3 linked regions of the Lepisosteus oculatus genome follow. The protein of the gene in region 1 binds, or shares a complex with, the protein of each later gene. Links are inferred from orthologs where the notes say so. Each region holds a gene or a part of one and is shown on either strand. Other genes may lie near its edges.

Region 1 (7,567 bases):
ACCCTCATTCCGCAACTCAGAGCTCATCACAAAGTTACGATTGTAAAATATACGATTCTTAACACTATGAGATAAGCCTGCAAAGAAGAGATCATAGTTCTTCTGAACTTGGGAAAGCCCCAAGCAAATATTAAATGATAGAGCTATAAGAGAAAGTAATTTTGTTGATCTGCTTATTGTAAAAGTACAGTTATCACTGTGGCAAGGTGGTTTTCATTGCTGCCTTGCAGCGCTGGGGCCCAGGGTTCAATAACACACCCGAAGTGCTATCTGCATGTAGTTTGTATGTTCTCCCTGTTTTTGCTTGGGTTTCCTCCCGCATTACAAAAACATACTGGTAGGTTAAATGGCTTCTGGGAAAGCTGGCTCTGGTGTGAGTGTGTGCGTGTCTGTGTCAGTTTCTGTACACTGCAGGCCTTGTGTCCCCTGCAGGGTGTTAGCCACGTTTGTGTGTGTTGCTTGCCTGGATAGGACTGTGAGGTAACCATAGCCTGTATGGGAGTAAGCAGTTAGTAAATGGATAGCGGGGTGGATGGATTATTGTAAAAAGACACTATCACTGTTCAGGACTGTGAAAACGCTTGGCGAGTGATGCACAGTTTTGACGAGTGTAAAGCACTATGTGTCTGCAGCTGGTGTACTACAGTAGGTGCTGCCGGAAGTGTTAACCTGGTGTGGAAGAAGCCACTTGTGCACTGTTATTGCCATGTGGGTAAGGCTGGGAGATTTCTTGGTCAAGTAGAGTGAGGGCTTAATGAAACTAGATTTTAGTTTACAGTGCCTGGAAAGAATTAAGTTAAGAACAGACTCGCCTAAAAATAGGACATGCATTTACACACGGATTTGTGGGGAGCTGTGTCCAACTTCCCTTTCAGGAAACAGCTTGTGGTGCCTTAAGAATTGGCTGAATTCTGTGATCAAACGGTTCATATCAACCCAATATAAAGGAAGTCCAAATGGAAAAACAGTGTTGTGGATTTTATCTATGTAATCTTATGAGATGACGAGGATCTGGTGTGCTGTTTGAAGAGATATCAGTCATTGCTTGTTTTTTTTTAATGCTTCCCTATATGGTTTCGTATAAACGTATTCACTTTAAGATATTCTGAATTTATGCATATTTTTGCTGCCGAATGTTATCAGAGCTCCACATGGGTCTAAGTGATACATAAAGGCACCTTGAGTAAACAAATAACTCAGGAGTTTAGTGCTTGTTTCATTTATTTAAAAAACAGTCATCCAACGTCCAAATGTCCCTGAGTGGAAAAGGTTAACTGATTCTCCCCTGAGATTCAGTAACTGGTTGCTCCACGTTTAGCTGCAGGAACTGCACCCAAATACGTCCCGTAGTTGAGCATCGGTCTCTCACATGGTTGTTGGAATATTGACCTGTTCCCCCGTGGCAACCTGCTGGAAACTGCTGTAAGGGGGGTGAATACTTTCAGAACGGTAGCTGTCCTGAGGATGTGATCTGTAGCTGAAGTGCTCATCTGGAGACTGCACTCTGTGCTTTGGAAACTGTATCATTGCTGTGTATCGCTGATCTCTGTAGCCCATCTGGGACCTGTGTGTAATGGTGGAGCCCCACTGCAGTCACATGCACAGCTCTGCATGCCTCCTTATCTCACAGGGGAGTTAATTTGTGATTTACTGTAGGACAGTTAAAAGGATAGCCCTCAGGAGCTGAGCTGTAGAGTTCAGGCTCTGCAGAGCTCACGTTGTCCATGCAGTAGCAGCAGCACCGCAAGTTCTCCACACCTGTCTCTCTGGAAGACCTGGAGCCAGTTGAAAGTTAAAAATGAATTAGTTGCTCCTGCCGTTGAGGATCAACATAAATAATTAAGAGTCGGTAGGAGCACAATGCTGCAATGAAATAGAGCCGAGCTGCTGCCTGTGCCCGCCCCAGCCCCCGGGGAGTTTGGTCTGTGTGAACAGGTCCTGTTCTAGTGGGATTTCGCAAACGCTGACTCCAAAGTCCTTGGCAGCGGGATATATTTGCTCCTTGCAGTTTGCCACTTTCTCCGGAGAGACTGTCTAAAAATATTGCATCACAGTGTTTCCAAATGTTCTCGTCCCCAGCAGGCTTTTAGAGAATGTGTGCAGAGCACTGCTAGGCCTCAGCAGTCCGTGTACATACCCGTGTGGCCAAACTGTGGGTATGGGAGTGTTAGTGTGCACTAGAGTATTTGACACATGGGCTAATCACCACTTACTGCTATCTTTAATACATTTTCAGTGTATGAAATACACTGTATTGCTGCCTTTTCTGGTCTTTTTCCACTTGTGTTATTTCTCTTTCTTTTCCTTTGTCCTAGAAGTACTATACTGCATGTCTTGGATGGATCTAAATAGTCCGGGCTTACTGCTTTCATACACACACCTGACAGCAAGCATACAGTACGTTAGAGACGCACCAATTTGCACCTCAGCTGGGGATTACAGTTCCCCTTTCTGAGAGATTGCACTCTGTGTGAGCTTTTACTAAGCTGTGGCTGCCCTAAGAGTGTTAATTAATGATTCTGTTGATTTAAAAATATTTCAAATACGGGGACATCAGGAGCCTGCAGTAGTTCTGACCTGTAAATGTGTGAGACTGTAACAGGGGTGAGAGGTCAGTGATCTTGGTGCAGGTTAAAGGTAAACGCAGTGTGTGCAGTTATTAACAGTGCAGTAGAGCTTTGCATGCATTTGCCTCTTATTTATGGGTTGTTCAATAATATATCTGCTATTGAAGTGCTTTGAAAATGAAGCCTTGTTAAATTAATAAGGGTGGAAAAGCCTAAAGTTAGCTGTCACATCCCCTGTGTCATTGGATGACACTCTTCCAATATGGATACATAAAGAAACAGTATAGTTACAGACCTTGTCCTGGAGACAGAGAGCCCCAAAGGTTGGAAACTTTAAAGTTGTGACTCTTCGTTCCGTACCTGAATTTTGTAAGCCATACATTTGTATACCATATTTGCACACACCACACTGTATTTAATTTTTTTTAATTGTTAAAAAATGAGAATGTTAACCTTATATACTGTATTATACTGTTCTTAATGTAACATTGTTTTGTTAAATTGGGACTCTCTGACATCTGAATTCCAATGGGTGATAAATGCATAAAAGCCACATCATGTTGCAATTTGTGCATTGGATGGCCATCTGCAGGACCTCCCTCTGCATCTGCTCTGTAATAGTATGCAGCTTCATTAAAGCCACACTAAAAACTGTTCCCATACTTGAAGTAAGAGTAACACCTGTTCTGGTTCTGCCATGCTGAATGAGTCGTGTGACTGTTGTTGTCAGATAATTAAAAAATACATGTCATATTTTGAATCACGATATATTGTACTACAAAAAAAATCATTTCACCTCATTTTTCGGGTGATGGGTATGTTGTTGTTGAGACAGGCTCAAAGTCTTTTTCACATGAGTCTCCATTTTTCACAGTTACGTTTTATGTTATTACTTGTGAAGGACTGCAGACATGCCTGTGAGAACCCGACACTCCAGATCACACTTGTTGTGATATACCAGTTCTCAAATTGTTGTCAGGAGCAGTTAAAAATATAGGCATTAGCCGCTTGTAATTAAAATGGGAAATTCTGATAAAAAGGGTTTGATAGCGTCATGCCAATCATTAGAATACTTCAAAATTAGGCGAATTGTTGGATTTTTATGGATACACTTGACACTGATGGCCAGGGCAGCATTTTCACAATGAATTCTGATATTACTGATACAGTTTTGGGGCGGCACAGTGGTCAGCATTGCAGCCTTGCAGTGTTGGGGCCCTGTGTTCCATTCCAGACCTGGGGAGCTATCAGCTTGGAGTTTAGACATCCTCCACACATCCGTGTGGGTTTTCTCCCACAGTCCAAAAACACACTGGTTGGTTTAATTGGCTTCCAGGAAATTTGGCCCTGGTGTGAGTGTGTTTGTGTCTGTGTGTGCTATGCGATGGGCTGGCATCATGTCCAGGGTGTATCCTGTCTTGTACCCCGTTGCTGGTAAGGATAGGCTCCGGCTCTCCTGCTGGGATGGAGGGATACAGTCCTCTTAGTTGAAATGAGAAGGAAGAGGCTTCTCCGGTTCTCGGTTCTTTGGTCGGGGCCGGGCAGAGGGATCGGACTGGCTGGAGGGGGTCCGCCCCGGTATGAGGGCAGCAGTGTCCTCTCCCCAGTGGGGCAGTGCAAGAGAGAAACTGGAGGGCAGCAGGGCACTGACTCTGAGCTCTGGTCTGAACTCTCTTCTGCAGATTGCAGTGGGTGTTCACATTTGTCCTTTTTCCACCAAACCTCTTGCCACATCTGTCTCCAGAGGTGCCAGCGGCAAAGCTTGTGGCTGTCACAGACCTGGGTTGTGGGGCGCTGCGTAAAAGAAGTGTTTGTAGTGCCGTCAGCTGTGCTGAGACGCCTCCTTTAGCTGCCCGGCATTTGTGCTGCTTTGCGCTGGTAAGTGGAGTGTACAGTATTAGCTTTGTTCATGCCGTGAGCACTGTGTTGTGAAATCCCATCAGGAATGTGAGCCGGGTTGCAGGGCTGTGCGGAGCGGAGAGCAGGGAGGGTCATTGTACAGCGGGGCTCGCGGCTTCAACAATGGAGCACTGTCTGCGGCTTTGGACCGAAAAACCTAATAGTTGGAGGAATTTAAAAGGCAGGATAAAAGCTGCTATAAAAAACAAGTAAGTAGAAGCTGCTATAAGCCTTTCCCTGAGGTGCCCTAATGATGCGTTTTCTGCAGATGTCGAGGTCTTCAAAACAGATAGACAGGGAGGAACACTGGGGGCTTCGCTGTCACCCCCGGCACCTGGGAGCAGTGGAAAAGGAAGCAGCTCTTGAAAAAGGCAGCTAGACAATTTGATCCTGACCTGAGTCGTAATGCCTGCGATCAAAACGAAGATAATATTATTTGGGATCTTTCTTGGGAGAGCAGTGTGGGCATTCCCGGGATGCCATGCTTCTCAGAGCTGTGGCTTTGAATGCATGTGTGCATTGCATGCAAGATAGAGACGTCTAATGTTAGTCTCTGAATCACAGCTTTGCTGTCATTCTCAGGCCTGTCCACAGGTGCTGAATGCTCCTACTGGCCTATACTGGGAAGTAGCAAGGGGGACACGGACTAGAAATAAGACAGCTCTCCTTAGTTGCCAAAAGGCCAACCCAGAAGGATTTCATAGGTTTCTATAAAATGATCAAGCACCATACACCTGGAACTATGGTGTAGTTGGGTGATTTGAAAGAACAGTTTGCTCAATTAGCTGAGAGCTCAGATGGAGTGAAAATTGTAAGGCTCAGTTGGCTCTTGAGGACTTAAATTGAGTAGCACTGGTGCAGTTGTAACATGTGCCGAATCATGAGTTAAGGTCCAGGCGATGTGTGTACTTGGCCTGGGGTTGTACTTGTGCACTGTGCTGGGGTTAGCATACCTGGAGCACAGTGCCCGTGTCGGGGAGGGTAATGTGTACAGTACAGTAAGGACATCTTCGCCCACTGCTCTGCTTCACTAACCCTGTTTTTGTTTGTTCCCAGGTCCCTGAATGCCCCCCGGACCCCTGCTCTCTGCCCCACGGCGCCCCCCAATGGCTCTCAGCTGACCCCCAGGATGACTGTGAGTGAGCGGCTACAGAAGCGCATCTCCGCTGCATTCTACCGGCATGGGTTGCTTTGTGCATCGTACCCAGTACCCATCATCCTCTTCACCGCGGTCTCCATCCTGGCCTGCTGGTGAGTATCGCGGGGCAGCCAGACCCCGAAAAAGACACAGAGGGAAGGATGTAAGAGAAAGGAGGAAGATCAATGTATTTCATTGAAAGAGGGAAAGTATGTCTGTCAATGCTAGCTATCCTTTCTTTCCACTTATATCAAGAAATTATTGTGGGAGTATGGGACAAGTCACCCAACCATGTGGTTGATGCCGATACGCTGAATGAGATCCTTGGATCAATTAAGTACTAACTACCAATTGGGCTAGATGGGCCTAATGTCTTCCTCTTGTTTATAACTGTACTTATGTTCTTAAAAAGCATATATCTTATATATATATTGAAACATCAACATTTATTATTGCTGCTGCTTTTAAGATGAACAGTAATACCCTAATAATATCTGTATTTCCCTACAGAGAGTGTGAGGGGCCATAAGACTGGATGTGATTCAGTTGTTAGTTTGCCAGTCATTGGTGATGTTGCAGCAACAGAATTAGTGGTGCTATTCAGGGCTTTGCTGCTATCTTTAGTCAAGTGGGGCTGAAGACAACATTTCCAAACCCTGTCTGCAGCCTCACACTGAGAGAGCCAGGCATCGTCTTTTTCCAGCCAGCCAAACTCCCAGTAGATTTAAGCACATCCTCAATGCAGTTTAATTACACAGCTTTCAACAGCAGATCTTTGAGTATACACTGCCTTTCAAAAGCATTTTCTGCTTCCAATGATGTCCTGTTTTGATGAATTACAAATTATATACGCACATTATTTTTTGTGCTACTACAGATTACAACAAAATCATCCAACCTCAACAGTTTTTTGTTAACTTCTTTCCCGGCTGCTTAATTTGGAGGCACAGTCTGATGTAGGCAGTGTCTGGGTGGTACACTACAGATTCCAATTGTTATATGATTGACTTCACCATGCTGAAAGGCTGTACAGTGTCTTTGAAATATTTTTATACCCTTCTTCTGATCTATGCCTTTCTACAACTGTTTCCCTGAGTTGTTTTGAAACCTGCTTGGTCTTCATGGTTAAATGTTTGCTTGAAAATCACTACCTGACTGAACGGCCTTACAAAGACGGGTACATATATGACATCATATAATTGCAGTCTTACCACACACAGATAGGGGGACACTCAGATAATTGTGTGACATGTCACAGTAATTTTATATACCTGATCTAATTTAGGTTGGCCTTAGCAAAGGTGGTGTATTATTATACAACATATTTATCTTTTTATTTCCCAGATATAGGCGATTAATATATATATATAAGTATTAGTTCTACCAGTAACTACAGTCTAAAGTAATGTCAAATCAAAAGATTGAAGAAAATCAAATGTACTTGTTCATCTGTCTTTAAACTGCAAACACAATGATAAGGATAATAATGATGAAGACAGACTTTAAGGGCTTTCTCTAGCCCTAGCTCTGCCTCAACAGCATGCTAACTGAGAACTCCATTAGAACATCTTTTTTCAAATCATTAAAAACCTGCCTAATGTAGAAACATCATTACAGAAGATGAATCTATAGAGCTTTTAGATGATCAGCTAGCTACAGTAGGATAGGGTTAGCTTTCCGACACTAGAGTTTCTTTTTTTCTTTCACTCATACAAGCCTTCAAAAGTGCCAAGTGAACAATATTCACATGGGGGAAAAAATGTGTGTACAGTACATCATTTGGAATTGATCCGAATGGAACATCATCGGAAGGAGGTGAATACTTTCGCAAGGCACTGTGTGTTTTTTTGAGTTGACACTGAAAGGACATATTAGTTACTGAAATTATTAGGCTTTCCTGCATTTCTTCATCACTGTCGCAAGGACCGTTGTTCATCTGGGCCCAACATCCATCTGATAAATT
Region 2 (7,956 bases), on another chromosome or scaffold:
TAATAGGAATATTGGGAAAATTCCAGTTTTGTTCTTATTGTATCAATATGCAATGACAAAATGCTGAACCAAATTCACAGGACAACAGATTCTGTGCTACCATCACGGAGACCAGGCCTGTGGGTCTGCTCCATCAACTACATAAACGTGTGCTACTTTCTTGGGCAGGATTAAGGAATAAGGAATTACAAACGATTAAGGAACAAGTAAAGGTTAATCTCATGCCGAAAGTAGAAAGAACACAACAATTAGGCTGTCAATCTTTCTTCACCTCACACCTGAAGAAGGTTTAACCACCCAACAGTTTTTTTCCCAGTGTAGAACGAGCCTTTGCTTTTCTCTTCGCAGCCCTTTGCAAAGGACTAATCTGACTTGGCCAGTGCTCTGCATGGAGCATCCAGAACAAGCAGAGCTTCCATTTAACTTTGTCTCCAATTACGTGCAGGTAAATATTAGCTACCCTCTTCTGACTTCCAAACGTTCATTATCAGGAGGGCACCTAATTAAATTAAGGTTCCGCTTTGTTTACTGTTCTGGTTCCGTAACTGTTTGGGGAAAAAAATCCTGTCTATAGTCAAGGTGTCAACCCGACAAAAATCATACAGACTCAGAAGAACTGGATTTATGACTGATATTGGAATCCCCATCGCTTCCTAAAGGCTCACCTGAAGCCGTTCCACAGCAGGGAGGGACCCACCATGCAGAGGAGAAGATGCTGGCAATCATGTCCGGAGGGAAAAGCGTGACATTTCTCTGAACCTGCAGCAGGTTCAGCACCAGAGCAAGGAAGACCCCAATGGAAAACAGGACTACTGCCCGGATGACCAAGTTCGTGGCGCGGTTGGTCACGACGGAGATGTACGGCCCGCGGACCGTCGGCGCGGACGGCCGTCGCGTCACCTTGGGTGCTTCAGCCATTTCTGCCAAACACGGCCCCGCGAGCTGCTCTCAGAACACTAAGGCGTCTCCCCGCCGACAGCCACCTGCGCACTGGACACGGTCAGGCATCACTGCAAGCCTGGCATCAACGAGAAAACAACAACAACACTGACACTCACCTTGGTGCACGCGTCAAGAAAGGTAACGGACAAAACCGTCTTGTCAGAGGTGATCAGAGGCATTTGTTCCTATTTTGTTTTTAAACAAGGGTGCTCAGTCCCACAGCCATGAGGTCTTCACCAGAGGAATCAGACAGAATTCAAAATATTTCATTCCTCTAAGGCCAAAATGGGAGAAAACAGCAGATTTATGTCAGTCGCCACTTAAATCCCATTATCAGGTTCTCTTTTAACGCATGTAGACAATTTTGCACATCAAACTGCATAACAGTTGTTTAAATTCTCAAAGCACTGCTTAGTCTGTAGTCTACATGGTATACGTATCCAGTTTTACAACTACAGGAAAGCTGAAGATATACAACCAAGAGATAATAAAGAGAGGGGAACATTAGATTCAGCTGGTTAAACTCTATACCAAATCTAATTGTACGCTGTCTGGACAGGTGAAGAATTACAACTCAAATATGTCATGTTTTTTTTTTTCTTCAAAAAAGGCAGAGTATTACTGAATGCCAGACGCCTGAAAATAATGCCTCTGAAAAATCGTAAATTACATACTCAATAAAACATTGCTTCACCCAAAATAAATGGATTAATAGTGAGAATGGCTTCCAAAATAGAGATTACAACTCCAAATAGCCCTTTAACCATTTAAATGCAACTGACTGTAAAATAAATATGAAGCAACACCTGCTTCATGCTAGTGTTTTAGTTTCGGTGTCTGCGTAACAAGTATTATCGAGTGAAGCCTTCAAGAAACTCTTCCATTAAATGGCCTTCTTTGGGTGTTTCCTTCATGTTCAGTGTTGCCCTCAAACGGTTTTACAACACTGGTCAGTTTTGAAAGCCATGGGAGAGTGTCTCCAGTTCTGCACGATGGTCATGGACCATATACCTGTTAGGGTGTGAACGCAGAGAGGCGAGTAAGGAAGACAACAGTCTAGATGAACCCCAGCGTGCAATAATAGTACAGTTACAAGCGAACTGACCTCACATCTGCAACATGTTCGACATGGTTACTGCTTCTTCGGGTTTGGTACGTTTTGTAGCAAACCTGTGTTCAATCACAGCCACCGCAATGGTCTTGTAAGCAAGAGTACCCCACTTGAATAATGCCATTTCCTCCCCAAAAACCATTTGGCCACAGCTCCCTTTGAAAACCGGATTTACAGTCAAGCTTGTCTAGTCTTCCACTTCGATAGAATACCTAGGAAGACGTTGTTTTGGTACTTTTTGTGTGTGAATACACTTCGCAAGACCCCACTTACTCCAGTGTCAGTGAGTTGATTTGTGTTGTTTTAAAAGAAGAGTATGAATCCAGTGATTCTGAGCGAGTGAAAACACAGAAATCATGGGTCTGAACGGACTGGACTGCGCTTCTCCACAAGACGCGAGAAACGAGCATGGCAAAACCCGAGTTAAGTCAGTAAAGGAGGAGTCGTGCATGAGTCTCGCCAGTCTGTCCTGGATCGGAAGAAAGGGATCAATTTTAAGGCACGTAAACACTTTAAAACATGGCCCGTTACAGCTGTTAACTCTTCCGTCTGGTAACACAAATCCAGACAGGCCAATCACACCGGGCAGGCCTATGAAGGACAGGGGACAAACTTACTCGTCAAAACGATTGATATTTCAAATAAACGTTAACAGCTCTTGCATTTTCCCCATTCCTATAAAACGCAGTTTAAAGCAAACACCACTTATTAAAAATGAAACTGCTGACAGGGGGTACCGAGATCGAAACAGACAGTAACCTTACACAGCAAAGCGGTTTTCTCTTTCGGAGTTCTTACCTCATCTCTCACACACAAAACATTTATCCCTCTCATGCGAACTAACGCGCACCTAAAGACGCGAACGATCCTTCGGTTCGGAAACTTTCGTTAGCGGAAAGATTAAACCTAGGCTGAAAATAAAGTTTACCGTGTTTACCTCGGAGGACCACATCACTTCCCCGTCACTCTGCGATGTGCACGGCGCTCAACCTCCAATCAGGGTCGAGCGGCGTGACGTCATTTCCTAGCAAGAGCCCGCAGGCGCAGTGCAGTCGCATGTATGAACCAGGGAGTCAAAGCAGCCCTGAGGGATGTGGTGGAAGTTGTTGACTTTATTATTATTATTATTATCATCATCATTATTGTTATTAATTATTATTTAACGATGGAAAAACCTGGTACAGAGCATCGTAGCTGTAAGAGACAACAGCTGTTTGTGGCCACTGACATTCCATGATGTTGCAAAGAATGATGGTTAATTGGTTTGTAGTTCAAGACGGGGTGCCAGTTTGAAGTACCTGAGAAATATGCCAGAAACAGATTTATATATGTCGTAGTAAAATGAGGTGGACAGTTAAGTTACCATGACTAAAACCTATAGCTGGGATAACAGTTGGGCACTGTCTTTGGTTCACAAAACCAGCCTGCTCTCTTTCCCTTCTCCAGCGAATAACTGTGTTTTGCTCTGCCTATCATCATCTTCTTTCTGGGAAATTCATGATTTGGTTTCCACCTGCCCTGTGATTTCCATGCCTCTCCAGTTGGCCTTGTCGTCAGCGTACATCTTGTTAGCGTGGAAACAGGGGATTTAAGCGCATCAGTCCAGCCCAGGAGTGCCAAAGCTGGTCTTGGCGAGGCAGGGTTTTAAACAGGAACAGGCATGATATCGCTAATTCCCCCCTTTTTAAAATGTACTGTTACTTATCCACTTCACGAAATACTTATTTAGTGAACTGCGGATTCCCAGCGGGCCTGTTGCTGGTATTTCATCCTTATCAGGTTACTGGTTAGAACACAACAGCACACAGGTGCACTATACGTTACACAGCTGAGCCATTCTCTTCATTACTTTCCATATTTAATTTTTTAATCTGATAATGCCCTGCATATGGATTTTGTGATACTATAGATTATTTGGCTTTTGGCCATGGCAGTGACAAAAAAAGCATTCAGTAATTCTGTGAGCTTTAACTCTGCATCGCCCTGGAAAGATGATATATTGTACTTTCATTTAAAAATCAATTGAAATTGAAATATTGAAAGGCGATTTAGCTAATTCGATTTTTTTTAGTTTACAGTTTATTAATGCGAACAATATTGCACGAGAACAACTTGCGATGTTTTGGAAACTGGGCATGGCTTTAGCAACATTGACACAAATTTCACGAGGAGATGAAGCCGGGAAATCCACAATAATATATATTATGTAAAAATTAATGTGAATTATGAGGGTGTAATATGGATTGTAATGAAGTTCTTGACTGGCGTGTTTATGCTTCATATTCCAACTCCTATTTTATTTTCAGGGTATTCTTATTAACTAAAATGTAGTATATACTGTACGTTGATAATAGATTTATCATATTTAAGATCAACATAGTTATATATTATGTAATTATAATAATTCTACAAATTGATCATATATTTTTTTATTTGGTATTCATGGGATGCACATTTAGAGCGGAGAAGAGTGTGTCAGAAAAGATCATTTCAACAAAAGGTGCCAAACAGTGTTCAAAATGGACGTTGGTACATTGCATTTGTTTCCCAGAAATAATGGGTTAATGAAAAGTGTTTAAAAAAAAATCTGACGATAAGCTTTGTGTTGTAATACTATGTCAACAATGTAATGTAAGCCCCTTTGTAATTAATACATATAAAATTCCAAAATGCAAGTCTTTACACATCTTCATTGTTTATCCGCAGTGATAATTTAGCCTTTTCCCCTAAGCTACTTACAGCTACCACCATCATTCCAAATGACAAGTGACTGTTGTGCTGTTGATTCTAATTAGTAACCAATTAGCTCATTATTGCTCTGGTTAATTGCATTTTGCTATTAGGTTACTTCGGTAATAAGGACTTTATAATTAAAAGCATGCACTGAATAACATTGATTAAACAAGAGCCTCTAAATGAAGTACGTATAAACACATATACAAAGCCTTGACTTAAATAAATAGACATCCTCCCAGATTAAAATCAGCCATTGAATTCCCTTAAACACATTGTTACCTAATAGGATACTGGCAGAAGCCAATTGAAAATCTTCATACTGTAGCACTGCACATTCAGCTATTAACTTTAAACCTCAAATACCTCAAAGGCCGAAACTGGTGCTGTAGAAAGGAGTCTCAAGAGATTCTTTAAATGTTACCTCCACGGTGTGGTATAAAATGCAGGAGCTGCAAGACACTGAACACGTTCCACACACTGGGCATGCCATTTGGCAGTTCTCGGGCAGTTCTCACAGATGCATGTGGTCCCATCAAGCACTGGATTACTCATTGATCCATAGTGTAAAATTGCAGTTTGATTTTTTGGGACCCATTGAGAGCATGTGATCTATCTTTGACAGATTACTGTGAAAGCATTGCACTCCCAGAATTCTAATTCCATCATAAGATTAGTGTCTGTAGGTGTGTGTGTGCTTTTACTAGTTTCAAGATTATTGTGATTATTGATTGTGATTTTGAGGCAATTCTCTTTGTTCGAGGGGATAAGAGCATTGATATTGTAAATGAAGTTACAGTGCAAAACAGTTGTGAACAGAAGTAAAGTGATTCACTGTCAATCAATATTAGTTGCAGCTATCTAATAAAAGCAAATTGAACTGTTTCTTTATCTGCCGAGTTATTTCAGATTAAAGTATTTCATATTTTCGTTTACTGGAAGGAAGGAGCATGCCATGTTTCAGGATATCTGTGTAAGCTCAATGGATGGTACAGTGTAGCGAACAGCATAATCCGACAGAGTGTATTACAAATACTGCATAAAAGTATAATAAGTGTAAAAATAAACTGCAAACTAGAGAACTAGGATTTCCATAATCCACTTTGATTTCTTTAGTTCCATAACTTAAGCCTATTAGACCACATACTAGAGCAAATCAAATTTGTTAAGTGAACACTCATGAGTAACTTGAAAGGAATCATAAAGAAAAAAAAATCTGAAGCAATTACAGTTGCTCAAAATCTGTGTATTACATGGTATTAAAAGTACCCAAAGCACAGAACAGTAGAAAGGAATTTAATTACTATGCAAAGAGCGTCCTTTGGAAGAAGGCAAAGGAGGATTTGATTCATTTGTTTTCAAAGAAACAATCTGAGCAAGAGAAAAATATTTGTATTGGTATATATCGTGTACCCATCCACTGGGTAGCAGAAAGCTGCTTATTTTATAATGGTCACAGGACCAACAGATACTGGAGACATAAAGTGAGATAACAACAGGGCTGGGATGGCAGTCCAGTCTCAGGACACGCACACAAACCAGGCGCACCCATCGAAAAGCCATGCAAGCACAAGGGGAACATGCAAGCTCCACACAGACAGTTGTATGAAACCGAGACCCAGCATCTTAGAAGACAGCAGTGCTAACAGACTCACCACTGTGTTGATGTACTGTATGAATGCCCCTTTTCTAGCCTTGGATTGACAAAGACTCCTGATTATATTTACCTGCAGTATAATGAACTTAAAAAAGAAAACAAGACACCGAATTTACTTTATATCAGCTGAAACAAGTTAAAGGTAAAAGGGCGATAATAATGAAAAACGATATGCCACACCGGCACTGTGCAACACTCCAGAGTAAAATCAGAGTCTGAAAATGTGAAAAGTGAAGGTAATGAAGTGGCGACAGAGATGATGTAAAATATTTTACAGTCATCTGATGCTTGCTCCCATTCCGTTGCGATCTGTATAGACGAGTCCGAACCTACAGCCAGCACCATTTGCCCAATGTGCAGCATGTGTTATCTCTCTATAAAGAGGAACATTATCGCTTGTTAATTCATTTAGAGCATTCAATGGTCAGTTCTTATCAGTTAATGCACTTTATCACCTGCACTTCAGGCTAGTGTTTCAAAACCCTTGGAGATGATCAGCACTCTGAAGTGAGGGCAAATAACCTGCTATTAGGCGCTGGGAGCAGGGAAAGAGTTTCAACGATAAGTGAGAGTGGTCAAGCACCCGATTCATCATCCTGTTCACTCCAATGCGGAGAGGCCCTTTTTATCAGCACTATTTGCACCAATGTCATAACCTCTGGTATAAATCTTCTGTCAGGGCTCCTGTTCGAGTGAGCTCCCTCGCCCCATTACAATCCTAGCCCCCACATAATCACTCCTCGACCTTTGGATGTCTTTAATTAACCTTTGACCCCAAACATGTAAGCCCTGGTAGATTCAATTGCTGAAAGCCAATAAATGTGCATATTACACGATTCGCCTATCTGGCATTCAGTTCGTGTTTTTAAAATCAGACAGGATCTCAAATAACTGTTAAAAGCACCCCCTAATTTACTCATTCTTAGGTGTGTGCCTAAATTATGGTAATTTATAAATATCCCAAAGTACTTTCATTTAATGTCAGAATTTGTGTTGGATAGAGGGCATCAGACAGCTGATATTTATGCTTTCAGGGAGGCAAAACATTTTGTTGTTTTATGTATTTGTGGTTAAAGGGTATTTCAGTGCACATTTGCACTATAAGAGAGTAAAAGAACCTTCAGTGGCACGTTCTCTTCTGTCTAAACAAATCTGGGTAAAATGGTATTAGTAATTAGTCATTTTAATAATTGTATTTTCGCACATAGCTGGGAAGCTTGAAGAAGTAGGAAGTTTTCAGATCAGTGAAATATTTGTGATTTTTAAAAAATAAATACAAGACTATTTACTCCTTATGTGAGTTACAATATTTTCCTTCCTTTAATAAGATAGTATAGATACAAAACCTAGTATTTGATCCACATATGATTGAAAAATATTGAGACATCATGGACTGATTGGCTTTAAATCATTATCAGATGCCATCAGTATTCCTTTTTTCCCCCATATTATGCTTCCAAGATAGGTCTGTATCTTAAAGAGCATATTTTTCATTTCAATCTTTTCTACAAAG
Region 3 (7,245 bases), about 7.4 Mb from region 1:
TTGACTATCAAAATATTGGTTTAAATCAAACATGCTTAGAATAAGACTCTTTCATGTAGGAAAAAATTGGACAGCTCAGAGAAAAGTGGTGCAGTTGGCTTGAAAGTCATGTGTCTGTAATGGTTACTACTTGTGATTGTGTCTTCTTGTGTAACATAGATGCTCCATGGTGTGGAGTGAAGAACAGTCATGCAGGCTTCAAGTACATAAAAACTACCTTTCCTACTAAGAAGAAATGGGAAGCAGGCCATTGTGTAAAGGACAGAAATGAGCCCTGCCATATAATGTACGTAAGCAAAGGAAATTATTTTTAAAACATAAGTAAATGCAACAGATTGTGCAGGCTTTTAATCAGAACCTGCGAGCATGATTCTGTAGTACCTGTGTCAACATTTACATCCACAAATGTCATCTTAGAGAATAACAATGTTGTTTTTTTTCTAATGACTTACCTTGGCATTCAGTTTCTGTGACTTCCTCGCTTTAAAGATCATGTATTGAGCTCTAGGAAACAATCATGTGATTACATCATGTTGCTGTATATGTTGCTGCAGTTGTTTGAATAACTGGCCAGTAATTGTACTTTTCTACCTCCTCACAAGCCTACAATTTCATAATCCAAGCACAGTTTGCCCTCAAAACTCATTTCTTGCAGTTACAGTTGTCAGATGAAGCTCTCACAGACATGCCTTTTCTCGAACCAGTTGGTGTCTGTCTGGCTGCTGCCAGTGTCCTTAGGCATGAACTTTTGAGGAGCCACCCATGCTGTAGTGAATGCAGACTTGCCTCTTCAGAATCTGTGGAGTGGTCTTAGGAATTCAGGAGCTCTCTGGAGTGAGGAAATAACAAAACCAAAAAAATTAAAGGTACACCTTTTAGCAAGAGATGGTTACGTAAAATGATATGGTTTTCTGAACTATTACTTGATCTTTGAACTCCATTCAGAATTTCCTATTAGAAATTTTCAGACCAAAGTGATACTTGGAGCTGTGTGCCTCAATTAAAAGACTTCGCAGTACTATGAGCTCATGTGCATAACTATAATATAACCCCCACACCTACAAATAAAAGACTGTAGCGTGTGTGAAACACTGGTGCTTGAGTTTCAAATGAGGTATTTTTTAGGAGCTTTTTAATGAGTTAAAAATTGAAAATATGAAAACATTCATGTCTCCCATTACAGTCAAGTGCTAGAGATCATGGCTGCAGCAAGAGAAGAAGATCCTTTTGAGCTGGCAAACACTATTTTCAACAATACCATAAAGGTCTTCTTCAAAGGAAGCTGAAGGCTTATACCGACTAGAGCTGCTCTCACACCAGACAACGTGGTATGGGCTTCTGTCTTCACTACCACACTGTTCCAGATTTGTTTCGCAGCTTGAAAATCCTGGAATCCACATACAGGAACCATGATGAACATGATTCTTGATTGCTGCTTCTGGGAAACAAATATATATTTTTAAAGAAAATAAAAAATAATTTAAAAGGCATTAAGTTTGTTGTTTGTATGACACCTAATTTGGATTTATCAGATTTATCATTTTTAATGTACTATGTTTAATAGTTTTTAGTAGGGATATGGTCACTTGTATGGTATTATGCATGTTATGTTAATGTTGACTTCCAGTTTATTTGTAATTAATATAAGTCATGTGACTTTTAGATGAGGTTGTAAGATATCTAAATACGTATTAATAGGTTAGTGATATTGGTGTTGCTAAGCTTTACACCATGGTAATAGAAAAGTAACGATATGTCATAGTACTTGAAGAGCTACACACCAACCGCTTTACTCTGAAAGAAATGGCACCCCTCACTGCTGCCATCTTGTGATTTTGTAAAAAAAAAGATCAAATAAATTGTAAATTTATCAAATTAACATTTTATTTTCAACATGAATTAAATATTATTAACTAATCACAAATAGCTACTTGTTTCCTTGGTGCCCTTATCAGTGCGATATGAAAAAGGCTGTCAATGTGATTACAAGGCACAGAAAGTGAAATTTCAAACCCATTGGAACTGGGTTACATCCATTGGGTTACGCACAGGTGATGAGAACCATGAGGTTGAACTGGTATAGAAGACATCCTGAGGAACTTTCCTATTGCCTTATCTGGGAAAGGGGTGGAGATGGAGAAGGTTTTCAAAATATCCCACGTTTTATGTTCATTGGTAAATCTACCTGTATATCAGGTATTAGTACAGAAAAGTTCGGTGCCTGTAAATAATAATATTGTGGTGCCTTCGCCTGGCGTTGCGGTTGAAGAGCGCCTTGCCGAGGTGCGCAGCGAAGGGCAGGATGGGAGGAGGAGTCAAAGGGGGGACTGAGGGCGACTGGCCAGTGCAGGTTGACCATCTGGTGCAGTTGCACATTGTTGTGGGCTGTTGGGTTGCATATAAATAGTTATCTCCGGTTTATACTGTACTCTTTTATACCTGTACCCACTTAACTACCCTGTACCTATATGACCCTAGTGTGTTATACCCTGGTTACACTGTCTGTCTCCAGCTGTCTTTGCTGCTGTGCCGGCAATAAAGAGCAGTTTCCGTTCTAAAAAGAGCATGAATTCCTGTCTGCATCCTCACCGACCCTGTCTCCCTACATTTGTGTCAGCAGTGGGAGGGATGGACAGCGATTAGTGCCAACACCTGTCGGACTCAGATAAGTGCCAGTTTTACCAGCAGGCGAGTGACCCCCTCAAGCCCTTTCTGGGGACGAGCAGCAGCAACCAGGAGCAGGAGTGGCTCCCTGGCACCACTGGAGGGTTGTGGTCCTGCACTGGGACCGCCTGGTTCCATTCAGGGCTCGTGAGGGGACGCTCTAATAGGAGGGCGCAGCGGATCCCAGGGAGCAGCCAGTTCCAGATTCCTATGGCCTGGGGGGGCCAAGGGAGCAGACCGCCAGACTCCACCCCAATGCAGCGAGCGAGTTCACCGGGCGCCACGGGGGCTGGAGGATTTAGTGTGCGGCCTCGCTGGGTTATTCATCGTTGGTGGGACACTTGATGTTTTAGGTGGTGGCAATGTGGCGCTCTCACCTGGCGTTGCGGCCGAAGAGCGTCTAGCTGAGGTGCACGGCGAAGGGCAGGATGGGAGGGGGGACTGAGGGCGACTGGCCAGCGCGGGTTGAACATCTGGTGCAGTTGCACATTTTTGTGGGCTGTTGGGTTGTCATATGTATAATTATCTCCGGTTTACAGCCTTTTATACCTGTACCCACTTAACTACCCTATACCTATGTTTCAGTACCCTAGGTGACCCTAGTGTGTTATACCCTGGTTACACTGTCTGTCTCCAGCTGTCTTTGCTGCTGTGCCGGCAATAAAGAGCAGTTTCCATTCTAAAAAGAGCCTGAATTCCTGTCTGCATTCTCACAGACCCCGTCTCGCTACAATATCAAATAATTACTAAGATTTTTCTCTGGCTTACCTTCTTAGTTATGGAGACCTTTTCTTCCCCTTGACGTGCCAACAATTTGGTTAACGAACTTTCTCCTCGAATTGCCTTTTTGCGTTTGTCTGAGTCAACTTGAGCTTGCAAGTCAAGTACAACTTGATTTGCCACGGAGACAAACGTACCAGGCTTACACACCAAACATTCAGCTTCCCGGTCTTCTCTGCCACTTCGAAAACAAGGAAATTTATTTTTTAGTTCTGCTGTGAATTTACACTTTCGCTTTAGCATTGTGTTTGAGGGTAGGAAGACGAGAAACAAAATAGGGAGCCTTTTGAGGGAATGCTTATGCTACTAGTAGTAGGCATGCTGCAGTTTCACTGATTATCCTATACTTCGATTGCCTTGATACAGAAGCATAATGACACTTAAAAGCAACTCCTACTCACAATATTAATGGACGACTTTCAATGTATTAGTTACACATGTGTACACTCTCTTCTTTATTGAGATGGACTTCTTAAATGGGTCTTCCTGCGAGAAAACGTAGGAACTTGTTATTAATATGCTATTAATATGCTATCTTCCGTAAATTACAAAAGATATTGTTGTAGTCTATCTCTTTGCACTTTTCCAAAATAGGAGATAGTGAGGTTTCTACGCTACAGAGGATTCATTCCTTGGCTTCTGCAGAACAATCCGGCACGAACCTTAAGAGAAAAAGCAGAACTGTCTGACCGTTGCCATAACAACTGGACATCAAGTCCATTGCGTCATGTTTAGGAGCTCCATTTAATTACGTATTCACTATGACGTTCCAAATTGGAGTTACTTCCGCGTTCCGTGCATAGCAACAGGAGGACAGTGAAGATGGCGGTGTGCAGGGATCCAGAAAAATAACTTCAGAAAATTCAGTAATTTGTTTAATCAGAAGCGGCGAGAGAGCATTGGACTCCGAGAGCCCGAGTCCTCTTGGTATAACGTCCCATGGCGTCCCCTCATATCCGGATCGGCCACCAGGCCCTAGCTGTGCTGGATGTGGCTTTTCGAGTTCCCTGTATTTTCATTATCGACGCCATTTTTAACTCTTATTTTGATCCTGGGTCCGGATGGGCCATCACTGCTGTACGGATTTTAATTCGTTTTTTGGGTAAGGTGAATTTAAAGTATTAATGAAATGTCGTCTGATAGGGTGTGTGTCATCCTTTTAATTCACTCTTGCGTGTTGTTAAACCTGATCAAGCTGACCAGGCCACCTGTCAAACAGGAGCTCCGGCCTCTCGGTTTACTCCCTGCGGTTCCGATGTCATTGACACGCCGTTCATGAGTAGCCAACAGAGTCGAGAGGAGTGAAAAACTCCCCTGTGTGCTGTTTTGGATAATACCACTGCCTTTCTGCGCTTCTAATGTCTTGAGTTGAATAGTTTACGTTTATTTGTTATATCCCCGCGCTTCGTTTTGGGTTAACATTAGGAAGGGCAACAGCGATCGGATGATTTTAAATGCCAATAAGATTTTATAAAACAGGGAGCTCTTCAACTCTGTCGTCTTGAGCAAGTCTAATTTTCCTAAGAAATGAGTTTATGGACGGCGTTTTCAGTAGCATATGTTTCTAGGACCGGATGTCCGATTTTCTTCATGTTATCCTTCAGCTGACTTTTGAAATATGCTTCAAACGGATTTCTGTTAGCCAGTTTATTTCCACATTTCCTTGATTTATGGAGTCAGGTTTTCTTCCCATTCTCTCCAAAATCTGTATGGGTTAAAGCCCTGAAATATGTAATCGCAAATCTTAACTTTAAGAGCAAGTTTCATACTGCTGAAACGATGATTTACATTCTTTGTAAACATTAGGTTTGAGTTGTTTTATCACGCTTTCAGAAAAGCATTAGTTCATTGTTCTAGTTTTAGCAGACAATATTTGTTTAGTAGGAAATTAGATCGACAGTCTTAAATGTTAATTGTAACTAAACCATATAGGCTACAGTGAAAATCATAACTATCAGGACAGTAAAGTGAAATTAATCATTTTTGCTGTGTACTAAAAACGTGTATTTTGGATCAAAAGATTAATATGAGATCAAATCTGAATGTCAGTTTTGATTCTGGATGGTCTCGTATATACCCTTGTCTTATCACAAGAACATAGCAATTCAGATGACAGTTCAGGGAATACAGGCTAATGTAGTTAATCTGTGTTAAAGAGTGCCACCTCGATTTGTACCTGTCAAGTTCTAAAATTCCACTCTGCAAAACAGCCATCAGGCATAATATCATGTGTGTTACAACGTAACATATTGCATTCCAAAGTACTGCTTCCTTTTCTAGTGCCACAGCCGGAACATGTGTAGCTCTCAGTTCAGTTCATTCAGATTTTCATAAGGATATAATGTTGCATCATAAATCAAGTTAATTTTAATAATGTTGTATCATAAATCAAGTTAATTTTTTTCCTTTCTTTTCCAGGTGTTTTGGTATCAGGTGTTGTCCTGGTCTTGTCCCAGAGAGCGCTCTTTAAGTTCTACATGATCTTCTTTGCAGTACTTTTGGGAGCCGTCGCATTTCTGGTGAACTATTACGCCACCTCTCATATAGACTTCTACAGCGCTTACTATACAGCAGCATTAGGATTTAAGCTGCTTCCTCGTAGTGGACCCACACTATGGCTGGGCATGGCCACAGTCCAGCTTATGTTTGGAATTGGGCATGTTATGCTCCTCAATGTACAGTCAGTCTTTGCTGCACTAATTGTCCTAGACATTATGATCCCCATATGGGGCTTGATCTTGGAGTTGCCAGTGGATGTGAGACAGCTCCTGGCCATCATTTCAGGCTTGGTTCTTGTAGTGAACACAGTTGTCTGCTTACTTATGAAGATAAAGTGGTTCTATTACTCAGGTCGCTATGTGTACCTGCTCATCAGGCACATGTATCGCATCTATGGACTCCAGCTGCTGGTGGAGGACACCTGGAAAAGGATCCGCTTCCCAGATGTCCTCAGGGTTTTCTGGCTCACGAGACTTACAGCTCAAGCTATCATTCTGGTTTACGTTGTGAAAGTGGTGGACAATGAAGAAGGAAAGTGGAATTATTTGATCTCCTGGGATGCTTTCTGGGATGTTTTGTGCAACCTTATCATCAGTGGGTGTGACTCAACCTTGACAGTCCTGGGCATGAGTGCAGTTATCTCCTCCATTGCTCATTACTTGGGGCTCGGTATATTGGCTTTCATTGGTTCCACAGAAGAAGAAGATAAACGCTTGGGTTTCGTAGCACCTGTGTTGTTTTTCATTTTAGCTCTTCAGACTGGCCTTAGTGGCCTAGACCCTGAGGAGAGACTGGTCCGGCTCAGCCGAAACATGTGCCTTCTCTTGACTGCCATCTTGCATTTCATTCATGGGATGACTGATCCAGTTCTGATGTCTTTGAGTGCCTCACATGTTTCGTCTTTTCGCAGACATTTCCCTGTGCTCTTGGTCTCCTTGTGTCTGTTTGTACTGCCCATTGTGCTGAGCTTCATCCTCTGGCACCACTACATTCTAAATACCTGGCTGTTTGCTGTGACTGCATTTTGTGTAGAGCTCTGTCTGAAGGTCATTGTGTCCCTGACTGTCTACACACTCTTCATGATTGATGGCTACTACAATGTCTTATGGGAAAAGCTGGATGACTATGTGTATTATGTGCGCTCAACTGGCAATGTAATTGAGTTCATTTTTGGGGTGATCATGTTTGGGAATGGAGCTTACACCATGATGTTCGAATCTGGCAGTAAGATCCGCGCGTGCATGATGTGTCTCCATGCCTACTTCAACATTTACCTACAAGCCAAGAATGGCTGGAAGACCT

Evidence for each region.
Region 2: the proteins of scap (region 1) and insig2 are in contact, whole or in part, in a cryo-EM structure (PDB 7ETW), measured with the Homo sapiens proteins. The link is inferred for Lepisosteus oculatus from reciprocal best matches to the Homo sapiens genes SCAP and INSIG2. Residues at the interface, in NP_036367.2 of Homo sapiens: Pro200, Ser206, Val282, Ala283, Glu284, Ile286, Pro287, Thr290, Ile294, Ala297, Tyr298, Phe301, Lys305, Tyr351, Val354, Val355, Glu359, Thr409, Leu410, Val411, Ser638, Tyr639; in NP_001308258.1 of Homo sapiens: Phe41, Val45, Leu48, Leu49, Ile51, Val55, Leu57, Phe58, Pro59, Val62, Ser65, Ile66, Glu104, Trp105, Ser106, Met109, Arg110, Val112, Ala113, Val114, Val116, Gly117, His120, Gln132.
Region 3: scap (region 1) and rnf139 share a complex: the UniProt entries of both Homo sapiens proteins name them as parts of the SCAP-SREBP complex. The link is inferred for Lepisosteus oculatus from reciprocal best matches to the Homo sapiens genes SCAP and RNF139.

Annotation. Positions count from the first base shown.
Region 1 is NC_090705.1:19,916,306-19,923,872, reverse strand, and holds the start of scap (sterol regulatory element-binding protein cleavage-activating protein), read left to right. Parts: upstream 1-4,512; 5' UTR 4,513-4,589; coding exon 4,590-4,675; intron 4,676-5,522; coding exon 5,523-5,717; intron 5,718-7,567. UniProt on the Homo sapiens protein: Escort protein required for cholesterol as well as lipid homeostasis.
Region 2 is NC_090707.1:6,226,471-6,234,426, reverse strand, and holds the start of insig2 (insulin-induced gene 2 protein), read right to left. Parts: upstream 3,066-7,956; 5' UTR 2,991-3,065; exon of another isoform or gene 2,982-2,990; intron 2,976-2,981; exon of another isoform or gene 2,852-2,975; intron 2,808-2,851; exon of another isoform or gene 2,048-2,807; intron 1,019-2,047; 5' UTR 919-1,018; coding exon 666-918; intron 1-665. UniProt on the Homo sapiens protein: Oxysterol-binding protein that mediates feedback control of cholesterol synthesis by controlling both endoplasmic reticulum to Golgi transport of SCAP and degradation of HMGCR.
Region 3 is NC_090705.1:12,501,947-12,509,191, forward strand, and holds the start of rnf139 (E3 ubiquitin-protein ligase RNF139), read left to right. Parts: upstream 1-4,223; 5' UTR 4,224-4,383; coding exon 4,384-4,546; intron 4,547-5,862; coding exon 5,863-7,245. Other genes in the region: deoxyribonuclease TATDN1, read left to right, coding at 160-286, 1,184-1,286. UniProt on the Homo sapiens protein: E3-ubiquitin ligase; acts as a negative regulator of cell proliferation through mechanisms involving G2/M arrest and cell death.